2 linked regions of the Caenorhabditis elegans genome follow. The protein of the gene in region 2 interacts with the protein of the main gene of each other region in a pairwise test. Each region holds a gene or a part of one and is shown on either strand. Other genes may lie near its edges. The genes, in order: puf-8 and skpt-1.

The links.
Region 1: the proteins of skpt-1 (region 2) and puf-8 interact in a two-hybrid assay, tested with the Caenorhabditis elegans proteins (one large-scale study listed by BioGRID).

The regions. Positions count from the first base shown.
Region 1 is NC_003280.10:7,293,282-7,301,380, forward strand, and holds puf-8 (PUM-HD domain-containing protein), read right to left. Parts: upstream 4,967-8,099; 5' UTR 4,949-4,966; coding exon 4,826-4,948; intron 4,693-4,825; coding exon 4,407-4,692; intron 4,361-4,406; coding exon 4,267-4,360; intron 4,221-4,266; coding exon 3,354-4,220; intron 3,310-3,353; coding exon 3,146-3,309; intron 3,097-3,145; coding exon 3,023-3,096; 3' UTR 2,834-3,022; downstream 1-2,833. Other genes in the region: C30G12.6 (uncharacterized protein), read right to left, coding at 1-990, 1,038-1,198, 1,244-1,431, 1,484-1,717, 1,766-2,404, 2,452-2,734; C30G12.1 (uncharacterized protein), read left to right, coding at 6,290-6,406, 6,455-6,555, 6,603-6,711, 6,918-7,054, 7,100-7,254, 7,311-7,562, 7,675-7,937, 7,982-8,099.
Region 2 is NC_003281.10:5,444,375-5,452,120, reverse strand, and holds skpt-1 (F-box domain-containing protein), read left to right. Parts: upstream 1-3,841; 5' UTR 3,842-3,877; coding exon 3,878-3,956; intron 3,957-3,999; coding exon 4,000-4,081; intron 4,082-4,128; coding exon 4,129-4,453; intron 4,454-4,496; coding exon 4,497-4,783; intron 4,784-4,892; coding exon 4,893-5,026; intron 5,027-5,076; coding exon 5,077-5,239; intron 5,240-5,289; coding exon 5,290-5,485; 3' UTR 5,486-5,608; downstream 5,609-7,746. Other genes in the region: paa-1 (putative serine/threonine-protein phosphatase PP2A regulatory subunit), read right to left, coding at 1-820, 872-1,380; F48E8.8 (Hsp20/alpha crystallin family protein), read left to right, coding at 2,309-2,389, 2,485-2,601, 2,647-2,767, 2,923-3,108, 3,156-3,283; disl-2 (DIS3-like exonuclease 2), read right to left, coding at 5,828-6,082, 6,133-6,321, 6,367-6,846, 7,033-7,746.

The sequences.
Region 1 (8,099 bases), on a different chromosome or scaffold from region 2:
GCGTATCGTCCATAGGATAACATACTCAAACAATCTTGAACTGATTGAACGAGAGCCATGCCTTGAAGTGAAACAAGAGCCTTTTCAAATACTTTTGCAAGTGCATCCTGACAATCATCCTCTGTTTGTTCTTCGCCTTGGAAAATTGCATTGGCTGTCTTTGGAAATCCCTGTGATTTGATAACTTTTATCAATGTATTCACACCAGTTGACGTCAAAACTTCATCGCCTCTTTGAATTAAAAGTGTCGTCAGCTTCAAATAAGGTTCGCAGTTTTCAAAGTCAATCGAAGTTGCGAATCCGATAAGTTCCAATCCAAGTTGCTGAAGTTCTTCATTCTTATTCCCTAAAAGAGCTGGAATGATAGTCTTGAACAGCGACGACATTGATGCAGTCGGTGATTCGACTTCTTCATGTTTACATGTAGCAAGAAGCATTGTGGCACTTCGAAGATACATTTGCTCGAGAACCTTATCGTTCTTCATAGCTTCTTCCAAATTAAGAACTTCTTCGTGAGATAACATCAATTGCTTTGCGGTATCACACATCCAGTCGCACAGTTGTTTAACGTCGTCTCCAATTTTGCAAAGATCAAAACATATCATAACGATAGTTAAAATAGTTTCACTTGAGAAAACAAAAGAAGAATTTCCCAATATTTTCTTCAATGCATGTTTGTACAGCATTTTGTCATCATGCAAATCTCCATACTTTGTAGCCACATTCATCAAATGAAGCAAATTATACAGAACAAGATCCTTGCAAGTGTAATCGGTTGACATGTTTCGATGAAAATAAGCATCGCAGAATTTTTCAAGATGTTCGACAAAAGTGGTGACGTCCGGTAGGAAGAATGTGAGTGCTCTGCTTCGTAAATGTGTCGCGTCGAGGCGTCCTTTAGCGAAATTGAAAATGACATCGACAAAGCACCGAGAAATGAATATTCGTGAAAAAATCTTTCTTATGTCCTCATTCCCATCGTTATTGTCTCTGGAAAAAGACTGTATAAAAAAATTGAAAAACAATTATTTTCTCACTTTGGTATCAGCCTAAAGGTTGTTCGACGCATCAGCCCAACTCTTTCACAATCAGGAATTGTCATACTAAGCAGATCCTTCATAAACTTCTCAACATCTAGAGAGCCGCATGCTTGCTGAACGGTTGATTTTTGGATGAAACGAACAGTGGCGAACTTCATCTGAATTTCAATTTGTAGGAAATCAACCGAAGCTTTCTAACTTACAAAGACGTAAACTGCAGTGGGATCAACTAAAGGATCGAGATATTCAAGTATGATACTTGGAAATTCTTTAGGAATATTATTATTATCTGAGTCCGGGAATGGAAATATAGAAGGAGAGATAATCTCATCACCAGCCACCTTCATCCAAGATTCGACGAGAAGTTGATGAATAACATCCTGTACACGAGCTGAAAATCAATTAAATCAATTGAATCACACTGGTCAGCATATATTTCTTACCACTATCACTGTTGTTTAAGAGATTTACTAGCCGGAATCTTTGTTTTTCAGAAAACGAGAGCAATGAAACATCAGATGCTAATCTCACAATTATTGCTTGTTTAACACGATTATCCTTGCTCGTTTCGACGTAGTCGATGCATTTATCAATATCGTTCTCATTCGCAATGTGAACTCGACGAGCTGCATTGACACGCACACTTTCATCAACATCATGAACACTCTTCCACAAAACTGTAAAAAAACGTGAATTCTGGTTAATAAAGAGTGTTGCCAACTTACGATCATTCACAGTTACTTCATCACAACATGTGGTTTTACATTCAATATCGTGGTCCCACAGTGATAGAGCAATTACAGCTTTACATCTAACTTCTGGCGACTTGTCCAACAAACTCTTCGCCAATTTTCCCATCCATCGGTTTTTCACTCCGCTTGGAATCATAACTTCACTCTCTGTAGGATCTTCATCAGAGAGGAATGCGTCATCTCCATGCTCCCGCATAACATCAGCATACCGATTCGCTTCTTCCATAAGACACGCGATGAGTCGATAAATGCGACAACGAACGAAAGAATCAGCGTGCAAATAAAGACGATCGACAAGAAGAATCAGCTTATATAGAAGATCACTGCACTTCATTGACTTGTTTTTAATTGCAAGTTTTGCGATGAATATCATAAGTACATGCTCGGCCTCCTCAGCACCTTGATCTCGTTCTCGTTCATCAACAATAATCGATATAAGCCCTTCAATTATCGAATCAATAACAGTATTCCGTTTGCAATCTAACATAGTTGACTTGAAAATTATTTTGTGTGCGACGTCAAAAAGTGCTATCGCTGCAGGCTCTGCTCTATATGTGACTTCGGTGAACACTCTTCTTATACGAGCTGTCAGAACATCCAACGGAACTTCTTCTGTAACATGATTGTCTTATAACGTTTATATATACTCACAAACAAACCAATCGTCAAAAGATTGAAGTCCTCTTCATTTAAATCCAGCTCCTTCTGTTCTTGTATGACTTCTTCATTAATTTCATCTTCTCCGTTTGCATCATCACTTTGTTTACTTACTGAGCTCTGAATAGGCTCATCGAAACTGTCGTTTTGAGGTTCGTTAGCTTTCGATGAAGCTTCTTGAGAATCAAAACTGTCTTCACACGCAGGTTCTTCAAAACTATCTTCATCGTTATCCTCTTCTACCATATCATCGAAAAGATTTCCGAGATGATCACCAGACTCCATCTCAAACATTTAGATTTGTGCGAAAACGGTTTTCAAGTAATTCAAGATATATAAGGGAGATATATAAACATCTTTAAAACAAATGTTCAACAACTTTTTTTTCAAATTTTTATGCTAAAATAAGATTAGGAAAAAATTACAAAACGAGTAACATTACAAATTACGATAAGCTGTCTACAGAAATGCACAGGGAATAACAAAAAGAACCGGTATAACAACCGGATTTGAGATAACTAAAGGTACATTTGTGAGGAGTTGAGTGTTGGGAATAGTACAAAACTGATTGGGCTAGTGAGATCCCTGCATATCTTGGTATGGATAGCTCATGACAGCCGGCTTTTGAAAATATTTTTCAAGTTTTGCTGCAAATTAAGGTTGAATATTATTAAATCATTCTTTGCAATATCTTACCAAGAATGTGCTTTCCATGAGGGAATTGTCTCAAAACGGGAATGTGTGGACGAACAGTTAGGATGAGTTCACGGCGCTGTTCTGATGTAACCTGATCGAACATTTTCTGAACAACGTAGTTGGCGTACTGATCTTTCATCATTTGGACAACAATCGGTACAGATCTGAATGAAATAATTATATCTACATTTTTCATGAATATACATACCCTTCCTGATGGTGACACGCAGCTCCTACGATCATGGACTTGTGATAAACTGCGCCTTGTTCCAAACATTTTTCGATAACGTTCGACGAGTACTTGTGGGTGGCAAACTCGAATAGATTGTTGGAGACACGAGTAACAATAACCATTCTATCCTCTTCACTTCCATGTTCAATGACGTGTTGAACCACATAGTTTCCGTACTGATTATTTGCAATTTCGTCGAAACGTTTATGAATTTGGCCGATAACAGGCTTCGTCTGCGAAGGACTGCAGTGTTCGAGACAACGTTGGACAACACGACAACCGTAGGGATCCACAGACATCTCGTAAATTGTGTTGCTGGATTCTAGAAGCGTATCGACAATGAATTGGACGTACTGTGGACTGACTTTCTCTATGGCCTTCTGAACCACGTGGTTTCCATTTTGATCTTTCATACAACGATGGATGACGTGTCGGATTTGAGAAAGAATTTTTATTTGAAGTGGCTCATTGATTTTTTCCAAAGCTTTCTGAAGAACACGGCAGGCATACATTTGAAACGCGTATTCTGGTACACGATCAATTATTGCATCGACGAGCCGAGCCCAATGCCTTTCTTCGCCATATTCGAAGAATTTCTGCACTACGTAGTTGCCGAAAATATCATCAACGAGCTCATCAGCATTGGAAACGACTTCATCAAATATAGAGTCCTTCTCGAATCTGTCCTTACTGGAAGCAAGTTCCTGTTGAATGAATCTCGAGCCAACTTGATCTTTGGCAAACTTCAACAGTGCTCCACGAATGTCTGATAATTTTAAATTCTTCATCATGGCTGGATTTGCACGATATCTAGTTAGAAGATCGTCGGTGGTTGTTGGTTCCCTGAAATATACAAATATTTAAACTATTTTTGAGTTTAGAAAAAAACCTGTAGGGATTTGAAAATATGCCTGTGGCAGACGGTTGAACCGGTACACGAATACTTTGAGAATGCGCTTGGTGCATTTGTAAATCATTATATGCTGTAAAAACGGAGAATTTCCATATTCGAAATATGTTTTTACTAACCTTGTGCTTGTAGCATTTGTGTCATTTGATTCGAAAACATATTAGAACCATTGTATTGATGATTCATGTAGTTGTTATTGATAGTACTCAAGACATGACCGACATTAGAGCTGATTGGAATATTTTCTTGAGCACAATAACACGATGGTGGAGTTCCGAACATGTGCAATGTATTCTGGCCAATTACTTTTCCTCCTTGATGCATGTAAGTGGCAAATTGAAACTCTGGTGTATCGGGAAGGCGTTCATTTTTTGGATTGGTAGAAATATGACGGCCATACGATCTCTGAAATCATTGTTTTATTGAAAATTTAATTGACAAACACTGCGGCAAATCTATCAGTGTGATTTATTGCATGAACATTGTATTTCTATTCAAAATAAAAAATAATTTCAATATTGCAATAAACAAGACTCACAATCGGAGATCCGCATACACTATCCACTATTTTCTGAGCACCGATGCTCCTCCCAAGAGATTCAATCGGAGAAGCTGAAGGATCAAATGTGCATGTATTCCCAATTGAAATCGGACGACTCATCAGGAACGCAGATTACCCCTAAAATAATTACTTTAGGTCAAGGAGGCATAGTTCAGCTTGAAAAAACAATTGCAACGCGTACTTTATTTATTTTTATTAATTAAAATAGTTGCACATGAGAATTTAGAACATTAAAATGAGAAAACAATGAAAAACAATCAAAAATCACTATTTAGAACAGGAGTTCCGTATTTATTCGGATAATTTTCGAACGAATACCGTAGTCGTGGTGTTCGTGGTGAAACCCATTTCTCCATTAAATGCATGTTCCTTTAAATTATTGAGGTTCCGCACGCACTTGAGAGTCCATGGAAAGGAGAACTGGTGAAAAACTTAATATACGAAAAGGTAATATGCTGAAAGGAGGCGTGGCATGTAGGAGAGTAGAAAAAACATTTTTTTCGACTTTTTGAAAAAATAGTAGGCTTGGATTATGTAGTTTCAATATGGTGTCGGGTACTGTATTTTCTGAAAACCCATGTGATTCGAGTTCGCGGCGAGACCTAATTCTTCAGGGACCTAATTTTATACGAATCCCAAGCTGACCTAGTGAAGACCCTGTGTAGATGTAACAGTAAATGTAAACATAGCATTTATATTAATCTCCGTTTTTCTGGAGATCAAATGCTAAGTAGATCAATTGAATATACTTGTGCTCTCAGAGATACCTGCTCCAAAGTCGATATTTCCTCACTCTCAACTCTTCAGAACTGGCAGAAAGTGTATGAATGAGTGTTGTTATGCATAGTATTGAATATTCTAAATTTATTTTCCATGTGCTTTGTGCTTAACATAGCTTGACCGTTTTGATTCTTTCTTTACAATGAAATGGATATACATCTTCATCTTTTTATTCTCGGGAGTCGAATGACCGTTTCAAAAACTTCAAAGTGTGTAGAGCATGCAAAAGCAAACAACGTGAAGATTCTCGACAAATTTAGTTTTTTTTTTTCTTCCCGACCGTCCGTTCGCCGGCCATCGTATCAAATTTCCTCCCACCTCTATTTCATTGTCATCTCCATTCCAACCCCTTTCTGACCTTTAACGAGAATTAGATTTTGTCTGTTTGTGTATATTTAATTTTGGAAAACAAAGCCTCACATCGAAAAAGGTTGCAGGCTGGCCGATCGTACGAGCGTATTGTGTGTGTGTACGAACATAGAGCGTCCGATTGCATAAGGTTCGTGTAAAGCAGCTTCCGGCCGTGGGAACAACACCATAGTTTGTGTGCCGAGAAGCGACGCCCCTTGTCTCCTCACAGTCCCATCTTTGTTCTTGCTTCGTAACTTGAACTCATCACGACCAAATAGAGTCTTTGACTAGGTGTACCCTTTGGTTGCCATGGTTAAAAGTCTTCATTATTTTATATTACCTTTAATTGGTAATGCCCTAATTCTAAATACACCACCTGAATATCAACCTGGATATGGTTATGTTGGACCAGCATGTGCTGTATTTGTAAGCATTCGTAGAAAACAATTTGAAAATATCTTCCAAATCTTTCAGGACAGTACCCTATTCCTTCATGGTGTTTCCAAGCGAAAGTTGAATGATCACGAACTACACATATTTAGTTCGTATCAGCATGATCTAAGTGCATTCAAAGAGTTTGTCATTCTATTCTCGATTGTTTTGAAAATTAAGCGTTTTACAGTTCATCATCTTCATTTGATTCTTTCGAAGCCTCGTTTCCTACAATTCCAAAATTCTGTGGAGGGTATGATGATTCTATTGAAGTGGTGTTGGATTCTTGTATTGTTCGAGTAAGTTTTTTTTTCCAATTGTGTATAGTTAGAACCATCTGGTTTTAATGTAAATCTTCAATATTACGGTATCAGGGGTCGACACGATCGGAAATTGATAGGTCAAAGACGCTTCGAGACCAATTACCGTATTCTTTTGTCAGAATCTATGAAATAGTCACTTCACTTTTTAATTACTACAATTAACAAATACGGTTTTTTTCTAGAATAATCACGTCTACGTTGGAGATCATCTTATCCGACCATTAACAAACTTTGAGAAACAGAAAATACAGTTAGTTAAAATGAGACGAATGTATGGAGAATCAAAAAGGAAACGTAGCAAAAGAAGCTCGAAACCATTGTAAGTTCATCCAATATTCTGCATTTTCAAATAATCTTGTTTCAGGCCTGGCACACGACCACAAAGAGATTTTAGTGAAATGCTTCACAAACTTTTGAATATTAACTCTACAGTAACTTCTCGATTCCTTCCAGTAGTTAGTCAAAGTCCTCTCTTTGCAATGGAAGGTCCGTGGCAGAATTTGTTTGAACTCGGGAAAGGTGATTTCCTTTCTTCGAGATATTTGTTATGAAAATTAAACATTTCATTATTCCAGATAAGGATATGATTGAATTATTAGCTGCTTCACAATTTAAACCCCAATTACCACCCGTTGCATCAGTTCCAGTAGCTCCAGTCATTGATATTACGAAGATTGATTCTCCGTATAGAGCCACTTTTACAACAATGAAACCAAGAAAATCACAGAAACCAGAAAAAAAGAAAGAAGTTTTCAATGTTTTCACTACTAAAACTAATCCTCAAATTACCACGACTACTATGACAACCACAACAAGAACATCCACAGGTAACATCTACAAGACAACTATTTGAAAAATTCAGTATATACAACATTTTCAAAATTGCAATTTATAATTAATAAATTAAGTTAACATCCGATTAAAGCTGTCAATTTTCAGCCATTCCAACAACTACCACAACTCCAAGACAAATATCACTTCAAACGATTCCATTTTCAACCACAACTAGACAACCAAATTTTGATAAAACCAAGACTCCTGCAACAATGCCATCAGCTTCTTCTTCTTCACTTTCAAGTATTCAAACAGTTGTTGATCCAATTATCTTGAAGTTAATTTCAAAGGCATTGGAAAAAAATGAAATGATTGATGAATATTCATTGAAACAGGCTCTATCGATGAGAAATGTTGCAACTACTACTGTAGGTTTAAATCTTTAATACATCTGAATTATCAATTATTTCAGACTCCTCTTCCACTTCGTTTCATTCTTCCAACACCTGCAGCCCCAAATCCATTTCTACCGTCTACAAGAGTTGGAGGTCTTTCTCATAATCATCTATTCATTCCCCATCAACCGTTTA
Region 2 (7,746 bases):
CTCATCGAAGAATTCTTGTCCCAACTGGGAAGCAAGAAGTGGCATGAATTGAACAATTGCGAGTCGAACTCTCCATTTTCCATCCTCGGCCAATCCAACGATGGCTGGCAAGAGGGATGTGGACAATTGAGCTGCTCCGATCACTTCATTGACCTTATCAAGACTGGAAATAATATTGAGGCGAACTTCTGGGGTTTGATCGTTAAGCAACTGCATGTAGATTGGGAGAAGCTCAGAGACAGTTTGTTCCTTGCCAATCAGTGGAGCAAGTCCCATGATGACACCGGCGAGTTCCGACTTGACGAGCTGATTCCCATCAGTAACCAATTCCTTGGCAACGTTGAGCAGTGAGTTGCAGATAATGTTCTGACGCTTGTCCTCTGGCAAGTTGAGAGCGAATTCCTGAAGTCTCTGAGTGGCAGCACATCTAACCTCACCCTCTGGATCCTTGAGAAGGTTCGTGTACATGTTAACGAGATGTGTGGTATCCATATCCTCACCGAGGACATTCTGAATCTCGATAAGCTTCTCGGCAACCATATAACGAACTCTCCACGACTTGTCATCGAACAATTCAATGAGAATTGGCTCGATGAGTTTCTTCTTGTTAGCCTTATCGAGGAGAGTTCCGAAAGCGATGGCTGACTCGACAGTGAGCAAACGAACAGAATCTTGCTCATCAACATGAAGATCAGTGAGACTGGAGTGGAGACCCTCGATGACGGCAGTCTTCTCAAACACCTTTGCGAACTCTCCGAGCTTTGCAGCAGCAGCACGGCGAACCATTGGGGTGTCATCACGGCACAGGGTTCGGAACATGCTGAAAATAATTAATTTAGATTGCTTTAGTTATTCTTTTCTTAATTCTCACCTCTTCAATTCCGACTTGATAGCTGGACTGACACGTGGATAAACAACAGAGAAAAGCCCACAAGCCGAGGTACGGGATGTGAACCAGTCTCCAGTGGCCAAACGTCTGAGCATCGGCACGAAATGCTCCTCCAATGAGGCCGAGCTGTGCTTGTCGGCGATTTTGCGGAGACTCTCAACGGCTTTGTCACGGACCACGGTCTCCTCGACTGTGGCCAAGTTCTCAAGTGGAAGGAGAAGACAATGAACATGATCTGGACCACCGACCAATGGAGTGAAATTTCCGAGTTGCTCGGCGAGCACAAGCAGAACCTCATCTTCGTCGTAAATCGTGTCGGTCAAAAATTGGATGAGCTCGTTGCGTGTGCGCTCCACACCCAACGCCAAAGCGATTGTGGAGAGTTTGCGAATGCTGTTCAGTCGCAACGTGACATCTTCGTTGCGCAGCTCGTCAATGAGCACGGCAATCGGGTAGAGCGCGTCGTCAGTGGCTTCTTCGACAACCGACATGATGAAGAGTGCTGAAATTTGTTTTATGAAAATTAATCTCGCGGCTATTCAAAGGAGAAAGAACGGGAAGAGAAACGGATTATCATCGGGCATGAGGAGAACAAGAGAGAGAGAGGAGACGCAGTGAAGATAACACAGCAATGTGTTGAAATATTGATTACCGGGTGGTTTTTGGAGAAATAAATTGGAGAGAAAATAGAAAAATTGAGTATTTTGAAAGAACTTGCAGAATCTACGAATAGTCATCTTTGAATATCTGATATTAAGAAAATTAAATTCAAATTTAAGAATGTTCAGTGCTAGAAAACATATTTTTGTTGAAACATTATTATTTCTGTACGAAAATATAGAAAATCAATGAAATGGAATTGTTCAAAGAAGAAGAGTGTGATTTTTAAAGAAACTATTGGAATTTTCGAGAAATCAGTGAAAAACTCTACCACGTGGACAATATTTTCACTGATCTTTCGAAAATCAACTCTGAAACTCGTGAAATTTCGATATTAAGAAATCGCTATAGTGAACCTGACGAACATGCAAAAAAAGAGCGGCGAAAGGAGAAGAAGAGAAACAGCTGCGACAGTGATACGCAGAGAAGCAGAGAACGGCCATCTCTCTCTCACTGCAATAGCACAATCCATCGCGCCTGCGGTCGTAGAGCTCTCATCGATTTGTCGTCGGTTTCGGTGTACTGGACGTGGCGACGACAGAGGGAACAGCGCCGGAAAATGACTGAAAATGTCCTTAAAATAGAATATTTTCAGTGTAGAAGGGAGGATGAAAACACAGGCATCACGTGATTAGTGAACAGCCAGTTTTTTTCTGATATTTAAACAATAAAAAGGCTGAAAATTAATTTGATTCGAATTTTCAGGCAAAACGCGTGGGCATGCTGTTAGAAGAACATCATTAAACATTTAAAATCATCATGGTTTCCTGGTTTTCAAAAATTTCAAACAGGCGAACAAAAGAGAAAAGGACGTCAAAAGCTTTAATAAAATATGCAAAAGTGAGTGCACAATCGAGCTTTTGGTTCTCATTTTTCGCAAAAGCGTGGTGCTCTAGTACGTATTCTTCTCATTAGCTCAGTTTATATATTTACAGAACAGTACAATGGGAGACGGTGCGAATGTGTTCAACACATTCAGCTTCAACAAATGGGCAGACGGCAAGCGTGAAGAGGAGATAGATAAGGAAAGTAGACGGCGACGAGCCGAGCAGGTTTGTGGTGGCTCTCCAAGGTGTATACTAGTGGCTTAATGACAGATTAAACGACTGAAGGAAAGGCTTCGAAAGGAGAGAGCACTGCGTGAGGCTCAAGGTGATGGAGATCTTGATTTGGATGCATTGATTGAGGCGTTACAAAGAGGAGAAGTTATCAATATACGTATGTCAAAATTATTTATTTTACTATTTAAAAACAGTGATAGAATCTTAATCACATCAGGTTTCTAATTGTTACTAATTATGTTAACTGTTCTTACAACCAAGATTTATAACATGAATAGAGAAGGATATTTGATAATTTGGATCCTATTTCAGCTCAACAAACCGATGTAATTGTAACCGAACCTATCGAGGAAACTTCTAAAAGAAAACGAGGGGTGCCAGATAATTTGTCAGATGATTATATCTTTAATGAAATAAATCTCTACGCAAATCGCTCGATCGGCTTGAACAATATTGCAGAGCCGGTGGACATAGCGCCTGTTCCACTACAAAAATTAGGTGAGGAAATTCAAGAAAAACCAATTTAAAATCTACTGTAAATTCAGATCCACTCTCCTTCCGTTATAATCGAAGAAATCAGAATAACGAAATGATCGCCAATGAGGAGCAAATTGTTCAACACCGGCCGAATAACTTCAAGTTTAATAGAATGATACAGGATATTCAAAAATGATTTTTTTTTTCGAAATGATTAATAAATTCTTATACTCTCTCCAAATGATCACAGCAACTAGGCAGAAAAAATGAAGGATGACTCAAACGTTTTAAATTTCGAAACTATTGGAACTAAATGTGTATTTCGGAATAATTAATAAAATGGATTTTAAAAAACTTGTCAACCTCTCACTTCCGAATACAACCAATCTTCGATGAATGAGACAAAAAAGTTGTTTTCAAGAAATAGTTTCAGATTCGACCCTTACTTTGCTTAAAGGTTATTTGGACTTATTTAAAAAGTTATATTACTTTTATTTAATCGTATTTTGATTTAAAAATGTGCGCTTTTGGTGGGAGAAACAAATAAAAATAGCGAAATATTGCAAAAAATAAAAAAATAAGGATAAAAATTGGCGAAAAATGTTCGAAAATTCAGATTTGCGGTGGAGCGCGTTTGCATTGCAAAAACTCGCGCCAACCTAAAAAAGATTACCGCGCCCGCGAGTTCATATTTATTCAAATCAGCCCTGTTTTGAATTTATTTCAAGCAGAAAGTGCTTTTTCCCTTATTTACCACCTAAATACTACACCTCATATCTACTCAAACAAAATGTCTCGTGTCATAGGAAGACTTCCATCAACTCTAGAAGATAACGGACCCTCTGAAAATGAGCATTGCGTGGAGACAGGTAATTGTGTGTCAAAATTCAAATATGATTGACTTTTTCAAAGTATTCTCAGATGAGACCATCTCCATCTTTCCATGCTACAACCTCTATCCAAAGAAAAGCCTCAGGCTTTCAGTTTCCGGAAAGTAAGCTGCAATTATCTCTTAATTTTCTTAATTTTACGACATTTCAGCTCCGAAAAGCTAAAGTCGATAAATCTGAATTGCAAAAATCTCGTAGAAGATGAAATCGCTCCGATCAAGCGAAAAGACGCACGCAGTATTCAGAATCCGTTCAAAAAGTACAGTATTCCCGATGAGATCACTGAACAAATCTTTTCCAATTTGAAAAAGAAGGATCTTCTCTCGGCGATGCTCGTCTGTCATCGTTTTTACGGAATCGGACACAAATCGAGAAATTGGATTATCACCGACGCCCAGGATCGTCCTATTTCCGAAATTTCACTGATTGCGTTGTCACAACGAAAAATCAAAGTTCTTCGTCTGGCAGGAGCTAAAGTGAGAATTTTATTTTATTTCCTATAAAACTAACTGTTTCCAGGCCGATCGAATCCTTCGTGCCGATGAACGGCTCGTCGAAGTTGCACTGCTGAGCACCTCCCGCTTGGAGCTTCTCGATCTCTCTCGCACTAATCTCACTGCCCGCCAAATGCAGATTATGTTGAAACCATGCCAGAAGCTCAAATGCTTGTCAATTGAAGGAAATCAATTGGATGACCACGTGGCAATATGCATTGCAGAGAATCGCGGGCTCCGCGAGCTCGACATCTCGATGACCAACGGAATCACGGCAAATGGAGCCAGTTTGATCTTCAGAAATTGCAAAGAGTGAGGGATTTTTTAAAACTTTCCTGAAAGTGTTCTTGCCACGTGTATCTTTAAATAATTTCTGTAACATATTTCTTGTTCCCGTGCACCTTCGTAATATTTTTTTCAGCCTGCAACAACTGAATCTGGCGTGGTGTGGATTAACACAGCCAATTGTGACCGTAATCATTCATTCCATTGGCGAGAAGCTCAAAAAGTTGAATCTCTCGGGAACAGTTCGAAACTTCGGCATCAACAATAAACGTGAGCGGCTCTGTTGTCAGAATCTTCTAATTTTCTGTAAAAAATTCCAGATATTGAGATTCTCGCCGCAAAATCCAACTACGTCACCGACCTCGACTTGTCGGATAACGTCGAGATTAGTGATCCAGGCCTCGCAGTGATTCTGAACAAATTCCCGAGACTTACGACAATTTCTCTCAATCGATGCTACGGATTGGACCCTAATATGGTTGTGTGAGTTTATTTGAAAATTAGTTTAATTTATTTAAACAAAACATTTCCAGACACTTCAACAGTAAGCCTTCGCTCGTTTATCTCAACGTTCATGGCTGCGTCTCTGACACGAACATGGAGCTTTTCCTCGAAATGTGCTCCAATCTGAAGGTCAACCGTCAGTACTTCAACTTCACCGCCAAACCGGTCAGCTACCAATGCGAGTCGAATATGATCTGGGGACAGACAATGATGGATATCGAATAGATAACAATACATATTATTTTAACTGCACTTCTCAATTGTCCTATATTTCTCTAGTTTCTAATTTTCTTAACGAGTTACGTGACAGTTAACACCCAAAACTTGTCAAATAAAAGTTTCGCTAGTAATATTGAATAATGCATTTTCATTCGACACCAAAAGTAACCGGGACGAGGAATGGACACGCGTTTTAAAAAATACAACGGGAAAATGGAATTTAAAGAAAAAAAGGATAAAGGAGAAAAAAAAGGATAGAAAAAGGGAAAAAAAGGATAGAAAAAGGGGAAAAAAGGATTGAAAAAGGAAAAAAAGCTTTTGCTGGAGGAGATCACTGAATCCGAATGACTACTGAAGAATTGTTGAGCCCGTTTCTTTCATGTCCTTGAGAGTCGACTTGAGAATATTACGTTGCTCGAGACTCGGACGAACAATTGTCGCGCTGACTTCAATGCTTTTGTACGGCACGAGAATCACGTAAACCACGTTGCACATTTGAATTGAGCTCGAAAACTCTTCACGGTTTCCGGATTCCGCATTCGGATCTGCTGGCCAGTAAATGGTAAGCTTCTCGGTCGATTTGTTGAAGTCTCGCTTCATTTTCTGAAATTATTCGGATTTTTTTTTCGTCATTGTTTGAAATCTATACTCACATCCACATAAACTCTCTTCACAACTCCATACTCAACGATGAGGACGTCGAATGAGAGATCCATTACACCAAGAACAACAGCTTGGCACTTCATCGGACCGGTTTGATGGATGAAAACTCCAAAATAGAGCATCGCAGACTCATCCGAAGCTTCCTTCGATGCGAGCTTTGTGTCATTGCAGCGGGTGCACTGAAAATTTAAATGCAAAAATTTCTTGAGTGTTTGAAAACTTACAATCTCCTGTATCTCTTCAGGAACTCTTTCAGATCTTTCATTATAACCAAGAGCAGCAGCAAGTTGTCGATGAACAATCACATCTGGATACCGACGAATTGGCGATGTGAAATGTGTATAATGATCCACGTTGAGAGCAAAATGATGATAAAATGAAAGAGGCATCTCGAAAGTGCAAAAATATTTCGCCTGTTGCATTGGCTTAATTGTCAATGAGGAAATTACTTGTCGAATGCACATATCCAAACGGGATTTTCCTTGATACTTGCGAAGTGACGTGGAAAGTAATCCAGACGTTCTTCCGTCCAATGGAAATCCAATTCTTGCACATTGCTCAGCCACGTCCTTTATCATTTTCTCTTTTGGTGGCGGGTGATTACGAAGAAGGGCGTGTTCTGGGAAATTTTCAGCGATCTTTTTAGCCACTTCCATATTGGCGAGCAGCATGAACTCTTCTACGAGTTTATTCGAATCTTTGATCTGAAATTTTAACATTTGTATTTTATAAAATTGGCAATTCTTTTTAAATTTCCGATTTTTGAAAATCTAAATTTATGGATTACTTTTTTGTTGCTAGAACCGAAAAAATGTGACCAAAAAATTGCTGTTTGAAAACAAAAATTAATATAAAAACACATTTTCTTTAACAAAAAACTGTTTATTAACCTCGTATATAGAAACTCCTTGTGGCTTCTTATCCTCATCCAATGCAAATTTCAATCTGGGAAGCTCGATCCGCAATGCTCCACTATCTTCACGCTTTTGTCGAAGAACTTGCGCGATTCTGTGCAACATCAGAGTCTTTTCCTTGATCTCAAAAGGCGTATTTCCATCTGAAATATCGGGAAGCTCGTCGCATGTGAAGTCCTTCTCCGGGTTCTCGATGAAATCCTGTGCATGTTCGTAGGCAAGTTTAACACGGGATCTGATAACAGATCTTCCAAACCAAACATCATACAGCTCGGCTTCGTAGCTCATTTTGAATACAGTTGAGAAGGAGAGGCGATCGACTCCAGGGTTCAAAGAGCACAGCTGCTCACAGAGGATTCTTGGAAGCATTGGAATTACAGTTTGTGATAGATAAGTACTATTTCCACGTTCGGATGCCCATTTGTCAAGCTCTGTACCTTCTTTCAGGAAGAATGTAACATCAGCAATATGAACTCCAATCTCAAGGCCTGGAGTTCCTTTTCCGTCACAATCATCGATGTGTTTCGCGTGAAGAGCATCGTCGAGATCTCTAGCGGTTTTTGGATCGATTGTAAAAACGATGTCACTTCGGAAATCTCTTCGGTACTCGAACTCGGCATCAGGGACCTTCCAGTTTTCGGCTGTAGTGATTGGAAGTGATTCGAGGCATTCGTCGCTGAACTCTCTGTG